Linked DNA regions of Rhinolophus ferrumequinum. The protein of the gene in region 2 purifies or fractionates together with the protein of the main gene of each other region. This does not show direct contact. Links are inferred from orthologs where the notes say so. Each region holds a gene or a part of one and is shown on either strand. Other genes may lie near its edges.

Region 1 (10,904 bases), on a different chromosome or scaffold from region 2:
ATTTCTTCCCCAGGAAAATAGCAGCAAAATACTCCCATAGTACTCTACTTAGAGAGTACTATAGCAATCACTAAATCTGTGAAATTATATAAATCAACTTGAAGTTGGTGCGTGAAACTTCTCAGGTGAGCAAAATAAGCCAGGGTAATAACCCTTTTGTAAGAATCCAGCAGCTCATCCAAAGTCAAGTTGTAAACTCAACCACAAGGAGCTTTCCATTATAAACCTTCAACTTTAGTCAACATGTGAGTCAAATGAATCACCTTTTAAAAAAGTAGCTCAATATCTTTCAAGGTAAACACCTAACAGAAAAGTTTTAACAAATGACAAGATTTCATATAATTGAGAAAAAGACTGGCACTGAGATGCAGGCACTGAGTAAGAAAAATGGAAAAGGTCCAATTCTTTCCTGCAGAATCTCCCATGCCAAGAGAGTAGTTTGCTATACAAGACAGATTAAGTGGCAAGCGGGCATATTGCTAGGGGCAATGTATATTAAAGGTGGTCAAAGGCACAGATAGGTGTACTTAGTCATACGCTGTGGTAGAGCCAATTGAGGAGCTGCAATGAAAGCTATCATGTGTGGCACCTGGCCTATAAAAATATGTAGAGGGTCCCCTTTGTGTCAGGACAGAGAGCAGGCCTCTCCACGACTTCTATCCATTGTCTGTGCAGGACCCAATGTCATCAGGCACTATCTTTCCCACCTTGCCATCAGCAAAGGTTGAGAAAAATTGGGAGGCAACTTGAAAACTCCTGACTTTTTTCCTTAAAAAGCTTCAAAAGATAAAGTTATAATTATCATGTCCTTTGAGGTGTATCAAGAAAGAGTGTTAGGGAAAGAAAGTTAAGAACTTCTTTAAAAGGAAGAACCTGCTAGTGACATAGCTAAACTGTCCTTCCAGGAAGCTTGCAGGACCCCAGGCCTTCTCCTGCAGGGAGAAGCCAGGAAGCCAGCAGGCTAGCTGCTCCCCCAAAAGGATGCCCATGTCTTGGAAGGTCCTCTTGAAAACAGAACATCTGAGTCAACAGGTTTTCAGGATTGGAAATTCTGAGTATTGCCTTTATTGTTTGTACTGCTGCCGCAGAAAACTTCTAAACAGAAATGCTGGGAGCCCCTGCACATACTTTACTGGCCATATTCTCTACCAAACAAAACAATGGCACTCCTTTCAAATCGACCTGGCAAGTGATATGATTCCTTAGCCTGGCATTACCATGAAAGTAACACGGTATTAACACATCTGTGTGCCTGGGCGTGCATGGGCTTGTAGAGATGCAAAAGGATCTGTGTCACATAACTGTAAAAATAACCTGGTCCCAGGTCTCCGCCTCCACTTTTGACAGGTATTTTCTATTCAGCAACAGGTTAGTGTGGTCCTGAGCCAACGATTAGAATCTATTTATTAAAGTTCTTCCTCTTAGGATTGAGTGAGAGTTCAGTGTAGTATCTGAGAGCACTTTGTCAAGGTTGCATTCCTTGGCAGAGAGCTCTTAGTAACTTTACAGAGAACAAAACTCTTTTTTTTTTTTTCCTCGGTTCAGAGAGCAAAAGTCAGTGTTCCAAAAGTGACTGCTGGTTCAATGTCAGCTGTCCCCCAAAGTCGCTTTTTACTGCCCAGAATGAGATGCCTGTGCTCTTCGCCTTTCTAAAGGTAAAAATGACAGTCACTAATAAATGTGCCCTGCTTCTCTGATGTGGCCCCTGAATGGACTTTTAAACGGAAGGTTTGTTTAAGACAATGACTGCCTCTGTGCCATTCCACCCCGCCCCCACCCCCGCCCCCAATAAACTTGGGATGGGGTCCGGAAGCCTCCCTGGCCTCCCCCAGCTCCCCTTGCACCCGAACATGCCCCGCCTTTCATCAGGCTGCTCAGACCAGGTCTCACAGGCAGGGCGAGGGAGACTCTCTCACAGAACGGCTTTCAGCTCCAGACTGGCCCTAGAGCTTCCTCCGGATGACCCGCGGAGTTCAGCAAGTGGAAGCTAGCCACCTCCAGCTAGGGCTCAACCACAAGTCCCTTTCTCAGTCCTCTCCCGCTCCCCGGCCTCCCCTCCGCCCGCCCGCCACCGTCACCTAATAACTGCTGACCCTCCCAGGCAGTTTAGAGCTGAAGGGAAAGAAGTTGCTCCGAGGACTGTCAGAGAAACACATCCCCACCCCCCGTGCCCGCACCCACCTGATTCGGCGAACGTGATGATCTCCGAGGTCTGCTCCATCAGTTCATTCATTTCTGCCCTCCTTCCGATGTCATCCTCTATCTCCACGTACCCGTTTTCCCCCACTTTGCCCACATGGAGCTTTCTGATAGCGTTCAGAAGCGCCGCCTTGGGCACCGGCTGCGTGACCTCGGGTCTCTTCTTCAAGTGCAGCATGTTTAAAATGTGCTTTTTGACGGCCTCCACCATCTCCGGCTGAGCGTTGGGTACATCCTTGGGGAGGGTGGTCAGCGCACAGGACGGGCAGGCGAGTTCCCCACTGTGCCCCTCGGATCCCGGGGTGGGGGAACTCCTCACTATAATCCAGCAACTCGCCAACAAAAATCCTCGCAGCCAAAGCAAGGGCATCCTGGCAGCAAAAGTTGTTGTGGTTGCCTTTTTGAAGGCCCTGCTTTCCCCCCTCCCCTTACGCACAGGTTTTTTGTTTGGTTTGTTTTGGTTTGGTTTTTTCCTTCTCCTCTTCAGCAAATTCTCTGGAACGAGAACAAAAAGTTTTCTGTGAAGTTTTCTTTGCAGGTTCCCTCTCTGAATGCAGTCAGTGCTGTAGGTTTGTGGCTGTCAGGGAGGAGAGTTCTGACTGTCTCGGAGTAAGAGAGAAGGAGGGAGGGAGGGAGAGAGGGAGGGAGAGAGGGAGGGAGGGAGGGAAAGACAGGGTGGGGGGGAGACAGAGACAGAGAGAGGATGGGAGGGAGAGAGACAGGGAGAGAGGAGAGAGGGGGACAGAAGAGAGAGGGAGAGAAGGGGGGGAGAGGGAGAGAGGGAGGGAGAGAGGGAGAAAGAAAGGGAGAGAGGGAGAGAGAGAGAACGATTGGCCCTAAGTGAGTGAGTGAATGGGAGAGGGAGGGAGTTTGTGAGTAAAGGCTGTCATTAGGAAGGGGAGGGACAGCCCGTTTTCTGACAGGCTGCTTTCCTTCTGCTCACTGCTCCCTCTCACACACCTCTCTTCAAATATCACCATTCTCGGGAGTGCTACTTTCCCTTCTGAAAGAAATCCTCCTAATTTTGTTCTACTTCCTTTTTTTTTTTTTTTTTCTTTTCCCAGTCCCCTTGCTTCACCTTCTTCCTCTTTTGGAGGGGAAAGAAAAACCCCAAGTAAATACACTGTCTCAATCCTCAGGGATGACTTGATTGAAAGAGTCTGCCCCCACCACCCCACCAACCCCTCCAGCTACAGCCCTACGGGACTCAGAGCCCACAGGCTGGTAAGGTGGGGCTCAGGGTCCCAGAGGTCTGGGGACAGGTAGGGAAGGTCGGAAAGAGGGACTAGAGGCCAACAGTGCTGCAGGGGCCAGTCAATTGTTCTGACCTGAGGGAATCCTGCAGGTCTTCCGTTTCCCCATTCATTCATATTTAAATGTCCAGGGCCGTCTACACTGGCAGGCGATCTGAGGGGAGTGCAATAGAACTTTTGTTTGGGGTCACATAATACACTCTACTTTTCCCAACTGCAAAATGCCACTGGGCATTGAAAGATCCACAGGCAGGCAGGCAGCATTTTACAGGCTCAGGACACAGGAAGCCTTTCCCCTCTCCCTAAGTCACTACCACCTCCTGCCCTGCACATACACACTCACACTGACGAATTACAGCCAGCCACCACTTGCCCCGACTTCACAGATAAAATGCAAAATTCACGTGCCCTTTCCCACATTATTTTACACAGTGTGCTCCTATGACTTGAATAACTGGTCCTATGGGAAAATAATCTCTAAAATATATTGGCAAATTGTTTTCTCTGTCATGTGGGTAGTTTTTTCAGCCTACCCCTACCCCATTCTGGACCACTGTGCTCAAGGACTGATCCCTTGATGGCTTCCTTCAAAGAACAGCACAGATGAAATCATCGTGGATTTCAGTGTTCACAGAAAAAGAAAAATGTGAATTTTTAAACAATGCCTGAGGTTTTTTTTAATTCTCCTCCATCCCCCCCCAGCCCCCTTTTTCATTTTGTCTTATTGCTTTTATCTTGCAGAAGTATCTTTAAGAGGTCCATCTGTTAAAGCTTTCCTTCCCTCTGGGTTTCTTTCCCACACATAAGCCCTCTCAGTTTCTGTAGATATAGTCAGCTTATATCTGACACCTAGTGTGTTCAGAGCATTATAGTCAAGCAATACAGTTGGGGGGGGGGGGGGGGGGGGGAGTTAATAAACGTCATTACTACAAGCACAAGATGTGAGTGCAGGGGAGGAGAGTGAGAAAACTGTGACACTAAATTAAAATTATAGTTTGCACAGGTAACAATGCTTTTCTGAATTGGATACATTGTCCCCCTTTCCCAAAACAACTACTTGCAAGACTTCCTGTGTTACAAGCCATCTATCACCTTTAGGGTTTCACCTCCAGGAATATCATTTACTCTGCTATTATTGTTAAGACTTTGTCAACGTTCCCTAAAAAGTCTCGTTTTTTTTAGTGGGGGATGGTGAAAGAGAATGGGGAAGGGGGGCGTTATAATTGTTCAATAGATTGTCTTTGAAATATAATACTTAACATAATCTAGCTATTTGGCATCACATATACAGTATCCAAAGCATTTTGTAGTCCAATTAAGTTTTACAAGAGAGTCTGAAATAGAACTAAAAGTTTAATGACTCCAAACAACTCAAGGGTCCTAATAGTAGCATTTAGATAAGTGCAACTTATCAGTATGTGGATTCTATGTTCCCTAAATTTATGTGTGTATTCCCTAAATTTCCTGTTTGTGTGTTCCCTAAATTTACTGTTTGTGAATGTAACTGGAAAAAAAAAACAAACAGCTTTCTCTTTAGCATATGTACTTGTATCTATATGCTGAATGGGTTGCATAAACACATAATCTATTTGCATGCTCTACTGTTAAAAGCTGTATTAACTTGCCTGAATAATATTAAAAGGTACAAATCACACAGTACAGGAAAGTGCCAGTAAGTTGCAAATGTCTCCTAACCATTCTGACCATGAATGTGTAAATAGCTCACAGTAAGAATTAAAAGCATTACCTTCCCGTTGCTCTCTCTTTCACCAGCAGCTTCTTGTATCATGTGGTCAGAGCTGTCCGAGTTCCTCTTCATGGTACTGGCACTGTGAAGTTTTATACTGTACTACTTACTTGTACACTCATGCGTTGGTACCACTCAAACAGAGGAGGGCTGGGGCTTTGTTTAGGATTGGTTAGAATCAGCATGACATCAGCAGATGACTGGTTTTTCCAGTGTGAGACATATTTCATAATCATTATCTAATGGAAAGCCATTCTTAGCTGCTGTGACACTACTGGGTGATCACTGAGCCAGTTAAACCTCTAATTGACTAGACTGCTTTTAGAAAAAACTGGAATTGAACAGCTATATCTCATTGAGTGTCCAATTTCCAACTTTTCTTTTACTATTTGCACACACACTTCTCATTATATTCAGGTTCAGTTTTATTCTTCACATAAAACATCTGTTACTTCACGAAGTTGCCTCTATTTACAAAGTATTTTATTGTTTCTTACAGGCAAGAAAATTCACAGTGCTCTTTATAGGGATTCTAATTATACTTTTAAAAATAAGATATTTCATTGAGAAAAAAATAGGAAAATATGTATATCTATATGATGATGATCTCTCCTCCCCTGAGTTACACTATTATTTTACATCTTGAAATTGAATGCCTGCTTCATAAATCATTTATCACCAAGAACTTTGGAAATAGTCATTCTGTTCAAGTGAACCTTATAAGTATCCTTCCCAGTTCTTTAGAATCCCAATCTAACTAGGAAAAAAAGAAGCAAAAAACAAACAAACAAAACCTCTCATACATCGTTCTTTATCAGAATTACAAGTCCTATGATTTCTAAATTGTTACAATTTCTAAATAACATGAGATTAATGAAAAGAAGTGAACATTCCTTCAAATAGGGGTTAAATTGGTCAGGGTCTTCTTGGCTGGGCTGGAGGGGTATTAGCAAGTCTGGGAAATAACACAGGAGGAAGGAGTCTTCAGACAAGGATGGTGAAGCTTAGTTTGGAGGAGTATACCTACAGCATAAGCTGGGTCCTCACCACAAGTTGAATAAAACGTGCAAAATTGTTTGGACCTAATGAAAGCCATATGACCAGATATGTTGTTTTGTATGCAGGATTTAACATGCATAAAATAAACTTTTCACTGTGCCCACAAGCAAAATATGGAGCCTCTGGCCTCCTGATGTGTAGTTTAGGCAGGTTCCTTTAGGACACCAAAAGTTTTCTGTGTAAGAGGGTTTGCCTTGGCTAAACACAGAGAAAGTGTGGATGCCTAACAGTATATGGGGTTGGGGAGCCTTCTAAGAACTGTATATGCAGAAATGAAGTAGGAAATTAAATCATTAGGTTGTAGAGGAACAGAAGGAATCTGAGAGGGAAAGACAGAAATAGGATCAGCGTTGGTTAACTGCATACCTGACCATCCGTTTAGAATTGGGTGGACTCAGCCTCTTTGTAAGAAAGGAATTCCCCCCCCCCCATTGATGAGCCCCCACGGAGAGCAATGGCCTGCAGGGCATCTCATCTCATCTCCTCCCCCATGCATGAACCCTAGTGTCCCAGAAATGCCACTGGATGTATGAGTTTGGGGCACACAACCAACCAGGATGGAGATCTGGGTCCCACTGCTTACTAACCATGTAACGTCAGCCTCGGTGTTCTCATCTATAAAGTGGGATCCATTTCTGAGATGACTATCTAAACATTTATGTCACAGGATTCTACAGCTCCCGGACTAGAGAAGCCACCCTAAATGTGCGACTCAGACTGGCTGTGCCATCAGATGCCCACCTGCCAGGTCAGCCCACCAGCTGCGATGTAGTTCTCTACCTGAATCCCCAAGCTCAGAGCTGAGACACACTGGAAATGCCTCCTCACTCAGTGGAAATTAAGGTGGGGGTGGTAGAGGAAGCAGGAAGGTCAAAATAACTTCAGTCGAATATTCTGGACTGGGAGTGCTCTTTTCCCTTCCCAACTTCAGAGCCCAGGGGGTGAGCAGGCTAGCCCAGCTCCCGACCAGCATCTCCCGTTCCTCCTTCGGTCGGTTTCTCTTTCACTTCCTGCCCCTCCCCCAGCAGCTCCCACCCCGGCCCTGCGCCCGGCTGCTCTGCTGCCACCGTACCTTGAGCAGCACCTGCTGGCAGCTCGCAGGGATCACGCCAGAACGCGACCGCCAGGCCCTGCACAGCGGCCGCCTCTATTTTTACCCCGAGCACCAGCAAGGGCAACTGTTTCCAGAGCAGCTTTTTATTCTTTCCCCCTTTGGCAGCTAAAGAATTCGGGGGGGTGGGGTGGGGAGGGGGGTTGGAAATCACTGTTCTGTAAGTGTAGCTGGGAATCTCTGAAACAGCCCTCGGTGCCAGGGCCGAGAGCGCAGCCAGTCTCAGGGACCCGCTGGGGACCTGCGGGCCGGCTGCGGGGCGGACTGAGACCCGCCGGGGGCGTTGACGCCGCAGGAGCCGTCCCCTTCCCGCGGGGGGCATTGAGTCCTACCGGCTCCTGCGCTAGCACAGCGGCCTGCTGCCAGCCGGTTTTCCGCCTAGTGCGGGCGGAGGGATTGACCCGCCACTTCTCAAAGCTACCAGCTTCTCGCCGGAGCATTTGCAGGGCTCTGCTCTCGCCTAGAGGAGCTGCCCCTGGAGAACCCGGCAAAGCAGCTTGCTGCTACAAGAAGCAGGGAAGGAAACTGTGTGGTACCTTATTTTACTGTAATTGCAAAAGGCACGATGTGCCAGAGATGTATATTTAGAAGTTGTATGTTTCTACTTTTATGTAAATGGCACAATTAGGGCCTGCCTTACTGCTGCTAACTCCAGGGCTTGTGCCTTGCTGCAGAGCTGGTGTTTTCAATCACAGTTAGTGAGCTGGTCAAAAACAAAGTTCATTTAAGGATAAGAGCTCAATGGTGCAACCAGGGGAGAGACCAGCGTCCCTGTGCCTCCCTGTGGCCAGCGGTGACACACACCTTCGGGCATGTCTAACCTATAGTGGTGTTTACCTATGGCAGTAGCTGTCCCCCTATGAAGTTGGCATGGAGCAAGAAGTGAGAATGTTCATTTTTCTTCTCAAGCAAACCGTATGTCCTTCAGCTTCCATCCATGCTATTAATTTGGTCTCTTTGCTCACTACTCCTGGAACAAGGAGACAGCCCTAGAAAAGGAGGTTGTTTTCATGGCTCTGTTATTTTAGCTGCAGCTCATGCATTGCTGTTATTCACTGAAAAATACACGCCAGGAGACGTGAAAAACCCTAGCAAGTGACTGGGAAATTGTCCTCTGATTCAGCTGAAATGGCACGAGTCTGGGTGTTCAGAGCACGGACTAGCCTGCTGACAACTCAGGGTGTTTGAGTTCCTTCTTATGAAAAATCTGTTTCCAAAAAAGCATGATTTCTGGTTCATCCTGTCTGGGAAACTGAACATAAAACGTGACTATGGAGAGAAATCAAAAGGACTCGAGGTGTTCACAACAGCTGACATGTTATTCTGGGCTCAAGGCAGGAAAACCTTGCGGAGTTGAGGGGCGGTGACTCCTTTGGGAGGCAGCTCAGAATCCAGAAAATCTGGGCAGGATCAGAGTGATATCTGCTGCAGTGAGATTTCAGGAACCTCCTCAGATGGTGTAGGCTGCTAAGGGATTGGCAAATCCTGCCTGTTCCCTGGACAGCCAGAGCTTGCCCATCACCTGGGCTGAACATTAGGTAGAGAGATTTGGGACGAAGAAGGACCAGCATGTCATGTTCAAAATTGAACTGAGAAGCTGTTCGCTTTTAAGTTAAATCAATAAATGAAGAGAGAGAGAGAGAGAGAGGAGAGAGAGAGAGAGAGAGAGAGAGAGAGAGATTAAAATTCTTCCAGAATTCATTAGAAACTAAGAGTCAGAAATAGTTCATCCAAACTGTCTTCCTAAGCCACCATTTCTTTGAGAATCCTACATTTCTCTGCATAGCCCACAAGGCCTTGTGCTATGTATGTGTGCTGTGTGTTCAGAATATTTGGAATTGCCTTTTCTGAACAGAAGGAACCCAGAGGCTAGAACTAACATGATTAGGGAAAGAATAAAAAAAGTAAGTAAACTGTTATCCTTCACTCTAGAGCAGTGTTTCTCAACAGGGGTGATTTTGCTTCCCAGGAGACATTCAGCAATGTCTGAAGACCTATTGGCCTGGCAAAACAGGATGGGGTGGGGGTTGGCGCTAGTGGCATCCAGTGGGTAGAGGCCAGGGATGCTGCTACACATCCTACAATGCACAGGACTGCGCACACAACAGAGAAAATGTTGCTTGTTCCACAGTTGAGAAACCCTGATTTAGAGTTATACATTTAAGTTTTATCTAATTCCCTTCCCATGAAGGTCCTAAGAGGCCTTGACAACTATGCAAAATATTCATAATCCTAATGATTCTTCCTCCGCATGTGTCTTGTGCTTCCTGATTAATGGAGGCCCACACCATCAGCAAAACGGACACAGTAAGAGCACCTCTTCGGCAACGTTGCTGTTGTCCCAACCAACTTTCCAGTGTGGCTTCAGTAGGTTTCCTGCTGGCTTTGTGTTCTAACCAAATGCAGAATCTTGGTGATCAACAACAAAATGAGATGAGCTGGCCCACACCCGAGTTGTCAGGAGGCAACAGACTCATGGAGAAGAGTAAGCGAATGAGGAATTGAGTTATTCACTTTAGCAATTCAGTATCTGATAAATCTATGCAATAGAGAATTCCCCAAAGTAAAATTCACAAAAAGTGAGATTACCATGCCTTTCTCCCAGAGCAAGTGAATATGATGTAGCTTGATTTTATTTGTTTAATATGTTAGGGGAATGACACACAATCAATATCCAAAGAGATAAAACAGAGCGCTTTGCTAAATCCTAATGCATTTTCCAAGCAAGATTATATTCTCCAAACTTTCTCTTTAAAAGGAAGTGGTATGACTGTTGAAAGAAGACCATGCTTCTTCAGATGTTGCTCTCCTGTGAGTCCTAGAGAAACTATTATGAAGGACCCCACATCATGGAAAACAATAATAATCAACAAATGTTGGTGAAGCACACAAAAGAGAATTTGCCTGGATCACTAGCTTAGGTGTGACGTGCCATCCCCTGCATGCTGAGACCAACTCCCCTGAGTCATCACTTACTCTCAGTGACCTGGATCATCCAGAAGGAGAGAGTCGGTCAGAGCCTGTTGTAAGATGAAGGGAGCCATGAGGGGAATGTCTTAGACACTCTGACGCCGTCTCATCGACTGTAGCATGTGAATCAGTCTCCTCAGGTAAATGGTCAGTTTGGAACCAAAGACCTGATCAACTACCAAATGATTCAGAAGTGCCTGGATTTCCTCCCAAGAAGTAACTAGTTAGTACTTGTGAAAAACTCAGTACATAGAGAGAAATCATCATTTATAACCTCTATAGAAAAACATATACTGAAAAAAACAACAGTAACACTAACTCAAATGAATAACTACACCCCCAAAGTCCTTCCTGGCCAACGTATATTTTGAAGTTGATTATCATAGCTCAGTTCTGATCTAATCAGGAAACATCTGCCACAGCAGTTGATCTTCCTGTTGCCCAGAAGATTATGAGAAGTACTCACAAAAGAACATATAACAGCTGTTGCAATAGTTTTTCTCACCTGGATCCCCTCGGGTAATAAGTTCCATGTTGCTGACTTAAGGACATATAGGTTTAGCAT
Region 2 (11,245 bases):
ATCTCCACTTATCTTCCCTTGCCCTTCCACAAACCTCCCCCTCCACAGTCCCTGTTTCAGTGAATTGGCAATATCATCCTCCCATTCGTTCATTCGGGAACCCAAATTCAAAACTCTTTTCCCTCTTTCCCATCAATCCCAAGTGATTTTGGTTATTCCTTTGGTAACTCCTAAAGCAGTTCCTTTCTCTCCATTCCTCCTGTTTTACTTTAGACCCCTTTATTCCTTGCTCAGATTATTGCAAAAGCCTCCGTAGAAAGTCCTCTGTGATCTGCCTCCTGCAAAATCCTCCAGATTTTTCTTCTGCCACAGGCCTTTGCCTTTGTTGGCACTTTAGTTAAACCAAACTGCTTATGGTCTCACCCAGAGTGGAAAATGCTGCAAACGGGTCTGAAACCTGGTGGATCAGAGCCGTGGCCTGTGGGAAGTCAAAAGGAAGGGGTTTCGAAAATGAGTGGGACCAGAGAGATGACATCATCTTGAAAGGGAGTGGTGCCCCTTGCAGGCTTGGCGAGTAAAGGGGAAAAAAGGAAGCAAGAAGCTGATGATGATGGCTTATCAATAGCAAGTCAAAGATTCAGAAGAAAATGGACTGTTCCCCGCCATGGCCACGTAGACGTTCCTTACTAAAGAAATGTTACATTATTGACCAACAGAAAAGGGCTTTTTTGGACCAAGAAGCAGAGAAAGCCACTCGATTCATTCTCCATTTTACCTCTGCCCCCATAGAGTTGCCTGTTATTGCACGCATGCCAACATAAATAGCAAAAGGAATTCACCATTTATACAAGTATAGGAAGAAAACGGAGTGAGAATCATAACTTTTCAAGCTGATGAAATACTCAAAAGGAAAATGGGACAAAGTAAACAACCCTGAAATACGAATTTTAAAATAATTAAAAAACAATTGTGAATATAAAAGAATACCACAGATCAGAAATTCAAAAACTCAGAATAAAAATGAAAAAGCAACAGGCATATGTGAAAAGGAAACTGACCAAACTTGGGAAAGAGTTTGAATAAAAAGATAAAATCATCATAATTATGAAGACTGCATTACAACACATCTAAATTAAAGTAAATATGACTGCAAGTACAGTAAAGCATATAGAAGAAAGGAATGAAAAAAGCTAAGACCGCAAAAACAATATAAAGGAAGAGCTAAAAAGGCCCAGAAAGAAAATGATGGATAAAAAGACAGGCAAAAAAAGATTAACAAGTAAAATCAGAGTTCCTGAAGCCAAAAGATAAGACAGTGGAACAGAGTTAATATTTAAAACTGTACCCCAAGAGAAATTTCTGAAAACTCGAAGACCTGAATCTGTATCTTGAAGGGGCCTATCTTGTTACTTGGAAAATTGTTCCAGAATGATCAACTAAGACATATCCTAGCCTAACTATTACACTTTGAAGGTGAGGAGAAAACTAGGTCAAAAAGACCTAGTCTTTTGCAAAGGAAAAATCAGGTTGGCATCAGACTTCTCAAAAAGCAAGTAGCAGTGGAGCAACATTTTCAAGAAACTTAAAAAATTTGAACTAAGTGTTTAGTATCCAGCTAAGCTGTCCTAAGTATCAAGGAGATCTATCTATCTATCTATCTATCTATCTATCTATCTATCTATCTATCTATCATCTATCTATCTAATGTTTTAATCATGCAATAGCTCAGGAAATAACCCCTTAGGATTCTACAAAGACAAACTTCATCCAAGTAGGAGATGATTGGGGAAACTTCCACAAAAGGACTGGTAGTGAGCATTGAATATCTTTAATTTTAGATCTGAGGTCAAAATGAACGTAGGGATAAGGGTGAAAGAATAGTATCAAATAGTCTATGTTTTAACAAGGTAAAAGCAACACAACTATAAATGAAAAGGGAGAGAGGAAGCGGACAGTACAAAGAGCTCTTTGTTGCCAGAAACAATATGTGCCAATCAAACAGTATCACTTTAGGTTGACAGAACAAATAGTTGAGGCTTAAGGAAAAAGGGAGACAAAGCATTATATAAAGATAACAGTATAGTATAAAGATAGTCACTAGGATAAAAGTAGACATCTCCCTCAATGCCCAAACAGACAATCATAAAGGCACTAGATCACATAGTGAAAAACATGCAGTAAATGTAACATCATACACACAGCAACTGGAAGGACAAGCAGGCGTCAAATTAGTAAATGGAAGGACTCAACTCCTCTATTAAAAACTTTCAGATTGGCTCACAAACCAGTATCTTACTGGCTGTTATTTACAAGAGACACATTTAAAGTAAGTGACCCAGAAAGGCTAAAAAGGAAAGGGATGGGCGACAATATAACAGCAAATACAAATTATGAAAAGCAGATTACAGTATCGATGTTAACAAGGTAGATGGAATTCAGGAAAAGATTAGACACGACAAAGAAGGACACTGATGTTAAAAGCCACAATTCAAAATGAAGACACACTGGTTATGAATGTTACAGCATCAGCCGGTTGGTTTGTCAACTTCAAATGATAGTCTTTGATTCCCACCTAGAGATTCCAACAGAATCAGTATATCTTCTGAATATATATATTGAACTTTGCACTTTTAAGGAATAATAGATAATACACCTTTTATCCTCACAAAGATTGGCCGTTTATTATACTGCAAAGAAAACATCTAAATTTCCACAAGATAGAAATAATACAGTTTTTAATCACAATGCAATAAAATGAGAAATTAATAAAATGTTTTTTAAAAGTCACACCTAGAGAAAGACTTTCTGTGAAACTACTCTTGGGACAAAGGAATATAAACCCAAATTTCAGAGTTTCTAGAGAATGATTGGTAACAAAGTCTAATTAAAACGGTAGGTGAAATATAGTTTTAAAATACTGTACCATTGATAAAAATAAAAGATGAATTTAAAATACTCAAAAAGCAAAAAAAAAAGTGAATAAGAGAAAGGGGAAATAAGTAACGACAATCACACAAGTGAGGAAAACAGGAAAAAATAATAAATGAGTGGTATTTTGATTATTTGAAACAATAAAAATAAACTAGCTAAGAAGTAAGGAGAGGCAAGCAGAAATACACAAAATAAAAATAATAGTGAAAAATTAACATTGGAACAAAATATTAAAGAGTATTTTCTACAATTCTGCAAATAAATGGGAAAACCTAGATGAAATGGTAATGACCTAGGGAAATATAATTTACCAAAATAACTAGTAGAGACAGAAAGTTTAAACAAACTAATTTTCATAAAGGAAACAGAAAAGATTGTCAACTACCCTATAAAAAAGACACTACAGTGTTTCCCCGAAAATGAGACCTAATCGGAAAGTAAGTCCTAGCATGATTTTTCAGGATGCTCGTAATATAAAATAAGTCCTACCATATTTCCCCGAAAATAAGACCGGGTCTTATATTAATTTTTGCTCCAAAAGATGCATTAGGGTTTATTTTATATTACGAGCATCCTGAAAAATAATGCTCATTTTCCGGTTAGGTCTTATTTTGGGGGAAACACGGTAGGTTTCACAGGGGAATTTTACCAAACCTTCATGGACCAATCAATCCCAATGCTATATAATGTATCCCAGAACACTGGAAAAAAAGCACCAGATTATTTTTACAAAGCAAATACAACATCGATCCCTATACGATGTTGCAAAAATGCCCCAATTCTTCACACCTGTATATCTATATTGCCATGGAATTTTGTTGTTCCCTCCCTCTCTGACTTGGCTCAGCTACGCAAGTTTGGCCAATGGGATTTTCACAAATATGGTGTAAGCAAGGACTTGAAAAGCCGTTATGCCATTGAAATTGTTCTCACTTTGCTCTGCCTTTTTCATGAAAAATTTGTGCCTAAGCTAGCCTGACCAAAGCCATCTGGACCATCCACAGGGTAACCGCCCCAGACGTGTGTGAGTCCAGATGAGACCAGAAGAACTGCCCAGTCAAGACCAAACTAAATTACCAGACTGCAGATTCATGAACTAAATAAATATTTATTACTTTAAAGCATGGAGATGTAAAGTGATTTATTACACAGCAATAGATAACATATAGAAATTGTTGCCAAGAATAAAAACGAATATATGTGACATTGAAACTGGGCTGTAGGTGGAGACAGGAAAAATGGTGAGGAAATTATTGGAGGCTGAAAAAATGCAGGCAAACTGAGTACCTGTGGTGACTTGGAAGATAAGTGTACGTACTGAACATTTTGGCTTGAGAAATTCCTAGGCAGAATGTTGAAAATGTCAGCTATTACTCAGAAAAGAACTAGCCAGATTTCAAGTAGAATTTAGAGGGAATATAAAGGTGCTAGAATGAAAAAATAACTTTCTCATCTCCATCCCTTTAAGCGAATAAAAGATTATCAAATTTAAGACATGGCTTTAAGTAAAAATCAAGGGCTGAAAGATACTTTAAGACCTTGGAAAGAATCAAGGCACTGTCTAGTAGACCCAGCTGATTTAAATGACTTCCAGCTATCAAGATTCTTGTCCCATAGCAGCCTGATATAGCTAAAGTATTAGGGATTGAGAGAGAGAGAGAGAGAGCGCTGAAAAATAATTGTGGGTATGGCTTTTGGTGCATAGAGTGGATTCAAATCAGACATAGAAAATTCACAGAACTTTTTAGGAAGCTACAGTAATAAAAGTGACATCAATGTAGTTAGAAAGGGACTAAAGGTAAAACACTGGCAAGGAGGGGCTGTCATTTCAACATAGAATTTTCCAGAACTGGAAGGAACCTTTAAAAACCCAGAAATCTTTCAGGGTAGTGACTCCAAAGTGTGGTCCCGGAAGTGTTCCTGATGCTTTGGGAACCTGGCGATGGTGGAGCCTCATTTCAACTTCAATCAACTTCTATATGGTGGAGTTTTACATAAAATTTTGTTTGAATAAGGTTTCTACTATTTAAAAAATGGAAAGCCCGGGAGTCCAACCTCTTCACTTTCTGTGTAAGGAATTTGAGACTTAGAGAAGTGAAATAACTCAGACTTCCAGCACCTCCTGGCTGCTCCTGCGCTAACAAAGTCTGTGGCAAGTCAGGAGAAGAGGGAGGACAATTTCTGTATCCAAGGATCTTGCATCCCATCCCTGAGCTGTGACGGGCTTTTCCTCTTTACCTGGGAGCCCCATCATGACCCTCCCAAACTGTGGTTGTGTCATAAAGAAGGTGGAATCTGAGATGGAGAACAACCACCCCAAGAAGGAATCTGGGGTGAAGAGGGATAGCGAAGCCATTCTCTAGACAAGATCTTCAACTGCGGGGACTGGCGGCAATTGCGAACAATTTTGAAGGTGCAGATTGAAGAGGGTGGGGGAGTGCAGAGGCCCAAATGGAGTAGTGGCGGGGAAGCAAGTTGCCAAGGCCCTTTGGCATCGGCTGCTGCTCTGCGAGGCGGGGCTCGGCGCCCTCCCTCTCTGGGATGGTTCCGACTTCAGGATCTCCAGCTGTGCCTTTGTGTGTGTGGGGTGTGGGGTTATAGACGTGCGGGGCCAGTTGTCATTTCAGAGAAGTCAGCCTTTTCCTGCCGATACAGACATGACTCTCCTATGGTTCACTATGACCCCCACTTCACAGGTGGGCGCGAAGAGGAATCCAGGCCAGAGTCCTAGGGCTGTTCACCTACTTTGGGGTCGCAGGGCAGCGTTCGGGAACGTGGGCTCCAGCGCGCAGAGCATGAATCCACAGTGCCGAGGGTACAGGTCCCGGAGTCCGGGACAAAATGGTCCAGGGCCCAACCCCGCCACCTCTGCAAGCGCGCCCTGACTGGCCCTCCAGTCTCTAGGATTCCTCGCGTCCTCAAGGAGGGCGCGGGCTGGGGGCGGGGCCTCTTTGTTGTTGTTTCTCTGGAGCCCCGCCCCTGAGGGGGGCGCGGACCACGCGGCCAGAGGGCCCGCCTCCCCTCCCCCTCCCCGCCCAGCTCGCCCGCCTCTTTGTATCCAACATCCGGGTTTCCCCGCTGGCTCGGCTCCGCGGCCGCGGCTCAGGAGCCATTTTGGACTCGGTTCAGCTCCCCTCCCCCCACCCCTCCCCCCGTTCATGGCCCCTCCGGACTCGGCCCCTGCGCCGGGGGCCCGGGCCCAGCCCCACCGCGCTATGCCTGAATCGGGCGCGCCCCGGCCCGCGCCCCACCGCCGCCCCCCGGTCCCCGCGTCGTCCCGGAGCCCGGGCCGCAGCCTGCGCTGCCCGCAACAGCCCTGAACCCGGTCTCGCCGCCCGGCCCTTGGAGCCAGCACGCTGCCCGGGGACGAAGGCGCAGAAAGTGCGCTGGGAACGAGACCTAAGGAAGGAGCGAGAAGGAGAGCGCAGCCGCCGCCGGGCCCTGCGCGCCCCAGGAGCGCCGCGCGGCCCTGCCCGCGGGCTCCGGGTGTCCGCGGGGCGGCGCCGCGGAACATGACGGCGCCCTGGGCGGCCCTCGCCCTCCTTTGGGGATCGCTGTGCGCGGGTAAGGACTGGGCGCGGCGTGGGGGGCGCGGGGAGGGCGCGCGGGGCCAGCCTCGGGCGACGCGTGGTGTTTACCAACAAAGGGAGGGCCCCTGCGGCCTCCTCGCCGCGCCACCTGCACCCAGCTGGCACCTCCCGGGGCGGGGACTGGGGGCGCGCCGGGCGCCCCGCTCGCTGATCTTGGTGGGGGGAATCTTGTTTGTGCGGCGGTCTGCAGGGCTCCGGTTCGCGGTGGCGACCCCATGATGGGGGCCGAGACCCAGGGTCGGGGTTCGGGCTCCACGGGAGCGTGGAACCCAGGGAGAATGAGAGGAAAACCAGAGCGTAGGGAAGGTAGCCAAGCGGGGCGGGCAGATCTAATCCCAGGATGTCGGGTTTGTAGGTGCAGCAGCAGCGGCTAGGGGGAGGGCTGCGCGACCCTCAGTGCCACTAGGTGTAGCGAAACGAGGGGCTTGCTTCTCGGAGGGGTCCCCTGCATCCCATTCCACTAGGGTCTGTGTCGTATTGCAAGGCGGGATGCTGGCACCCGCTCCCACCTGCGCCCGCTTTCCCTGCGATGGGGCCAGGGCGCGAGGTGCAGCCACTCCGCGGGACCGCTTTGTTTTGGGCGCCTGGGCTGGGAGGTGGGGCGAGAAGAAAAACCAACAGGTCTCTGTTCGCTCTGGCCTCTGGGAAGCACGTGGGGTGGGTGGGTGGCTCGCGGGGCTAGCGTTCGGCTCGCGCTGGTGTGGTTGAGGGTGTGTGGGTGCGGGTGTATACTTGAAGTGTTCTGCCAGGAAGGTGCTTTTTCCTTTAGGTCGAAGCACCGATTTCTCTCTTCTAGCGGTGCTGAGGCGCGCCCAAATCGGGTGTGCGCGCAGGAACGGGCTCGGCGCTCCGGTTAGGATGGCTTCAGGCAGCCCTGGGAAGCGTGCAGAGTCGCGCTTTGAAGCTGCAGGGAAAGTCTGGGGCGGTCTGGGCCGCTGGTGCGCGGCAGCCGGAGCGCTGCGTCTTGCGCGTCTTTGTTCCCAGCCCCCATTACACATGCAGCGCGGGTCCCTAGCTGCCCGAGGTGGCAGCAGCGCGGAGTCTGGGAAACCCGCGAAGGGCGGGGCCGGGCGTGCAGGGGCGGGGCTGGGATCCCCGCGCTGCCGGGAGGGTAGGGATCCGGGATCTCCATCCCACTCCCACCCCCGACTCTGTCCGCTTCATTTGCAATGTAGTTTGGTTCAGCTGTCTACATCAAAGCAAGTGAATTCTCTGTGTGGGGCTTGTTGTTGCCTAACCTGCATGCAAGGACCAGAGGATAGAGACCTTGTTGGTATCTGGGGGAGGGCGTCATGGCTCTTTTGGAACCGTTAACTGTGTGGTAGAGGCGGCGTGGTGGTGTTGACCTTGTTCTCCTTTTTGCCCCTAGTCCCTTTTAAGTGCTGCTTTGAGATGCTTTTTCCCAAAGAAAGGATGGCATTGGCCTGTAGAGGGGAGAGTGGCAGCAAGCTGACTTAATAGGCACGCACAGTTCACCTGGCTGTCTCTAGAACCGTCCTGGACATTCCTGGGCTCCCGAAACCCTCTCCTGATTTGTCTCACTATCCTCACCGGACTCACTTGCCTCTTCGATTAGGCAGGGCGGGATGGATTCCCCCCTCCCCCAAGCGCTGTATTTCCCTCCTTTTCCCTTTGCTCCTCCCTCCTGGCTTGGGCAGTACCCTGCAAGGTGGGGCAGCTGGAGTTAGATTGAAGTCGACCAACCTGTGTTCCTACCTTGGGAGAAAGGTGAGGGGCATGGTGTTTCTTGTGGTCACACCAACCAGTCCTTTGGTGGGCCACTGCTCTGACCTGTGAGGAACCGTGGGAAGAGCTGGCCCAGGCGCAAGTGGGGACAGAGCTGGCCCTCCTGTTCCTTTGACTTCATGGATGCCCTTTTTGTCAAGCTCCTGGCTTGCTGTTAGAATTACTCCCACTCCCTGTGGCATACCGTGTCCTTGTAGAAGGAAGATCTTTCAGAACAGCTCTGTCCACCAGAAATACAGTGTGAACAACACACGTAAGTTAAAATTTTCTGGTAGTCATGTGAATAAAAAGAAAAAGAAAGGAACAGGTGTGTCTTAGTCTTCTCAGTCTGCTGTAACAATACCATAGACTGGGTGACTTAAATAGCACTATTTTCTCACAGTTCTGGCGGGTGGAAGTCCAAACTCAGCCCCAGCCTGGTAGGGCCCTCTTTCTGGTTGGCAGATGGCTGCCTTCTCAGTGGGTCCTCACGTGGCTTTTCGTTGGCACTCACTGGGGGAGAGATTGTTCCTTTTCCATTCACCCCATCATGAGGGCCCCACCCTCATGACCCAATCTAACCCGTATTACCTCCCAAAGGCCCCATTTCCAAATATTGGGTGTTAGGGCTTCAACATATCAGTGTGGGGGTAGCAAACATTCAATCCGTAACACGGTGAAATTTAATGATGTGTTTACTTAGCCTGAAATATGCAAAATAATCATTTCAACATTCATCAATATTAAAACGAGGCATTTTACATTCTTTTTTATACTGTTTCAAAATCCAGTGTGTATTTTATAGTTAGAGAACATGTGAACTCACACTTTCCACATTTTAAGTGCTCAACAGTCACATGTGGCTCATGGCTACCATATTGGATGGCACAGACCTAGAAGAAACGGCAGAATTTCTGTTGTGATAATGGTACATGTTCAATTACTGCCACAAGTCCTTTGTGTTTTGTGCCTGTACCCGTGTCCTTGGGAAACAAGTTGTTTGGAGCTTGCATTGCTGGTTTGGATCTTGCATGTGGTCATCCCAGACACACATCTGTGTATCCCACAGAGCTGCTGATCTCTGTCTCTGTACTGGACTTGGGGTTCAGATCAGGGCGCGTGGGGGCAGGGAGTTCTTTGTGGAAGGTCAGGAGCTACTAGCTGGGCAGGAGGACCTAATTCTAGTCTGTCCTCTCAGGAAACGCAGGCCTTGACTGCTCCAGCCTGCCCTCAGAGGCTGGTTACTCTGACCCAGAGTTGTCTGTTTCCTCAGGGGAGAAGTGTATGTTTGTGGGTGAAGTGATGCCCAGGCCCAGTAGTGGTAACTGTCAAGGACATGGACCGCAGAGCCACGGCCATTGTATCTGCTGGGCACCCCCGCTCTGCCCTGCCTGGCTGGCTGGGCTGTGCTTTGGGAGGAGTGATCCCCTTCCTCAGCTCTTGGAGGCTCTTCCAAGATACATGATGTGAGAAACTTGCCCATCCCCCAGGCCTTGGAAACGTAAGACCCAGAACCCCATGGCCTCCCACAGCTTGGTGGGCCTCTGTGGGGTCTTTCTGGGCCTGGAGGATCCCCGTTAGGACCTGGACTTCCCCTAGCACTTCACCCAAGGAACTTGCTTTGTAGGGACCAGTGGAGAGCCCCCGTCCTACACCATGATTCTTTGTATCATGTGCTCCTCTGAGAGTCTGATGAAAGACGTGGACCCTTTCCTCAAGAAAATACAGATAAGTGTGTGTGTGTGTGTGTGTGTGTGTGTGTGCAAGTGTATGCACAGGTTATCCATGCACACGCACTGATCTGCACTGATACCAAGAACCTGTGGTCCCCTGGGTTGGACTCTGAAGTCCTGGTAGCCTGCACGGACCCATTGTACCAGTCCTGAGGGGCAGCTGGCTGTCCTTGGGGCACCCTGGGTTTGTTCCCTTCTTGCTGCTTCAGCTTAACCTATTCTAGTCACTGTACGTGACTTCTTTACTTCTGCTTTTTGTGATGCCGCCCAGTGTTCAGATTCCAGCCCTGGTCCCCTCCTCCCCTTCCTTCTCCCCCTCCTCTGAATGCCAGTGCATTCAGCTCCCAGCCTGGGAGCTCAGGGTAGTACAAGTGGGGACAAAGGGACATGAGGTCAGAGTTTAAATCCACCTGCAGTTACTGGCCTGTTACCGTAGACTGTGATCTGGGGGCTGGGGGGGTGCTGGTCTGGGTGATACTTTTGAGAATGACACTGGATACGCAGCCCTCTGGCAGGGTCCTGGCTGGGTGAGCCTCATTCTAGAACACGGTTTCTCAGTCTTGACACTGCTGACAGTTTGGACCTAATGATTCTTTGTTGTGTGGGTGGGGGTGGGGGTGGGGGGGGCTGCGAGCAGAGCCGTCCTGGGCACTGTAGGATGTTTAGCAGCATCCCTGGCCTCTACCCGCAAGATGCCAGTAGCACTTCTAATCGTGAAAACTGAAAATGTTTCCAGGCATTGCCAAATGTCCTGGGTGGGGCGGGGCTGCAAAATCACCTCTGGATGAGAACCTCTGATCTAGAATGTTCTCATGCTTTTAAAGAAACAGACAGTTGTGAGAGGTAGGGTTCTCTGTGGCTAATACCTACCCCCCCATCAGATTCAGGGTGGGATGTTGGATTTTCCTCAAAGTCTAGATTTCGTGCTTTGATTAACCTGCTCATTGTGGGCGAATTTGGTTGGAACTTAGTGGTTTAGGAGCACTGCCGGCCACCGAGGAGAATCCTGGCGTCCTTGAGTTTTCCCAGAAGTGGTTCGGGTTTCAGGGAGGCAGCGGTTGTGGGTGGCCGGGCAGCGTGCCCGCCCGCACCCGCCCACCCGCCTCTGACCGCCGCCTGGAAGTTTGCGCTCCTGCCTCGCCCTCCCTCCCTCCCACACGCGCAGAATGTCAGCGAGGGCCCGTTGCGGCGGCCTCGGCGCCGCCCAGCAGTCCCTGTCTGCTCACCTGGGAGCCGCGGGAGCTGAGGCGGGCAGCGTGGGCCCAGCGGAGCGCCGGGGCTTGTAGCAGGACGCGGCGGGCATGCCCTTTCCCCTGAGCGGGCCGT

What was found.
Region 1: the proteins of ACVR2B (region 2) and INHBA purify together in Homo sapiens (affinity purification with western blotting; 3 studies listed by BioGRID and IntAct, with this or other methods). This does not show direct contact. The link is inferred for Rhinolophus ferrumequinum from reciprocal best matches to the Homo sapiens genes ACVR2B and INHBA.

What each region holds. Positions count from the first base shown.
Region 1 is NC_046303.1:55,260,303-55,271,206, forward strand, and holds the start of INHBA (inhibin beta A chain), read right to left. Parts: upstream 5,290-10,904; 5' UTR 5,200-5,289; intron 3,194-5,199; exon of another isoform or gene 3,160-3,193; intron 2,695-3,159; 5' UTR 2,570-2,694; coding exon 2,182-2,569; intron 1-2,181. UniProt on the Homo sapiens protein: Inhibins/activins are involved in regulating a number of diverse functions such as hypothalamic and pituitary hormone secretion, gonadal hormone secretion, germ cell development and maturation, erythroid differentiation, insulin secretion, nerve cell survival, embryonic axial development or bone growth, depending on their subunit composition.
Region 2 is NC_046300.1:14,075,551-14,086,795, reverse strand, and holds the start of ACVR2B (activin receptor type-2B), read left to right. Parts: upstream 1-6,313; 5' UTR 6,314-6,383; coding exon 6,384-6,435; intron 6,436-11,245. UniProt on the Homo sapiens protein: Transmembrane serine/threonine kinase activin type-2 receptor forming an activin receptor complex with activin type-1 serine/threonine kinase receptors (ACVR1, ACVR1B or ACVR1c).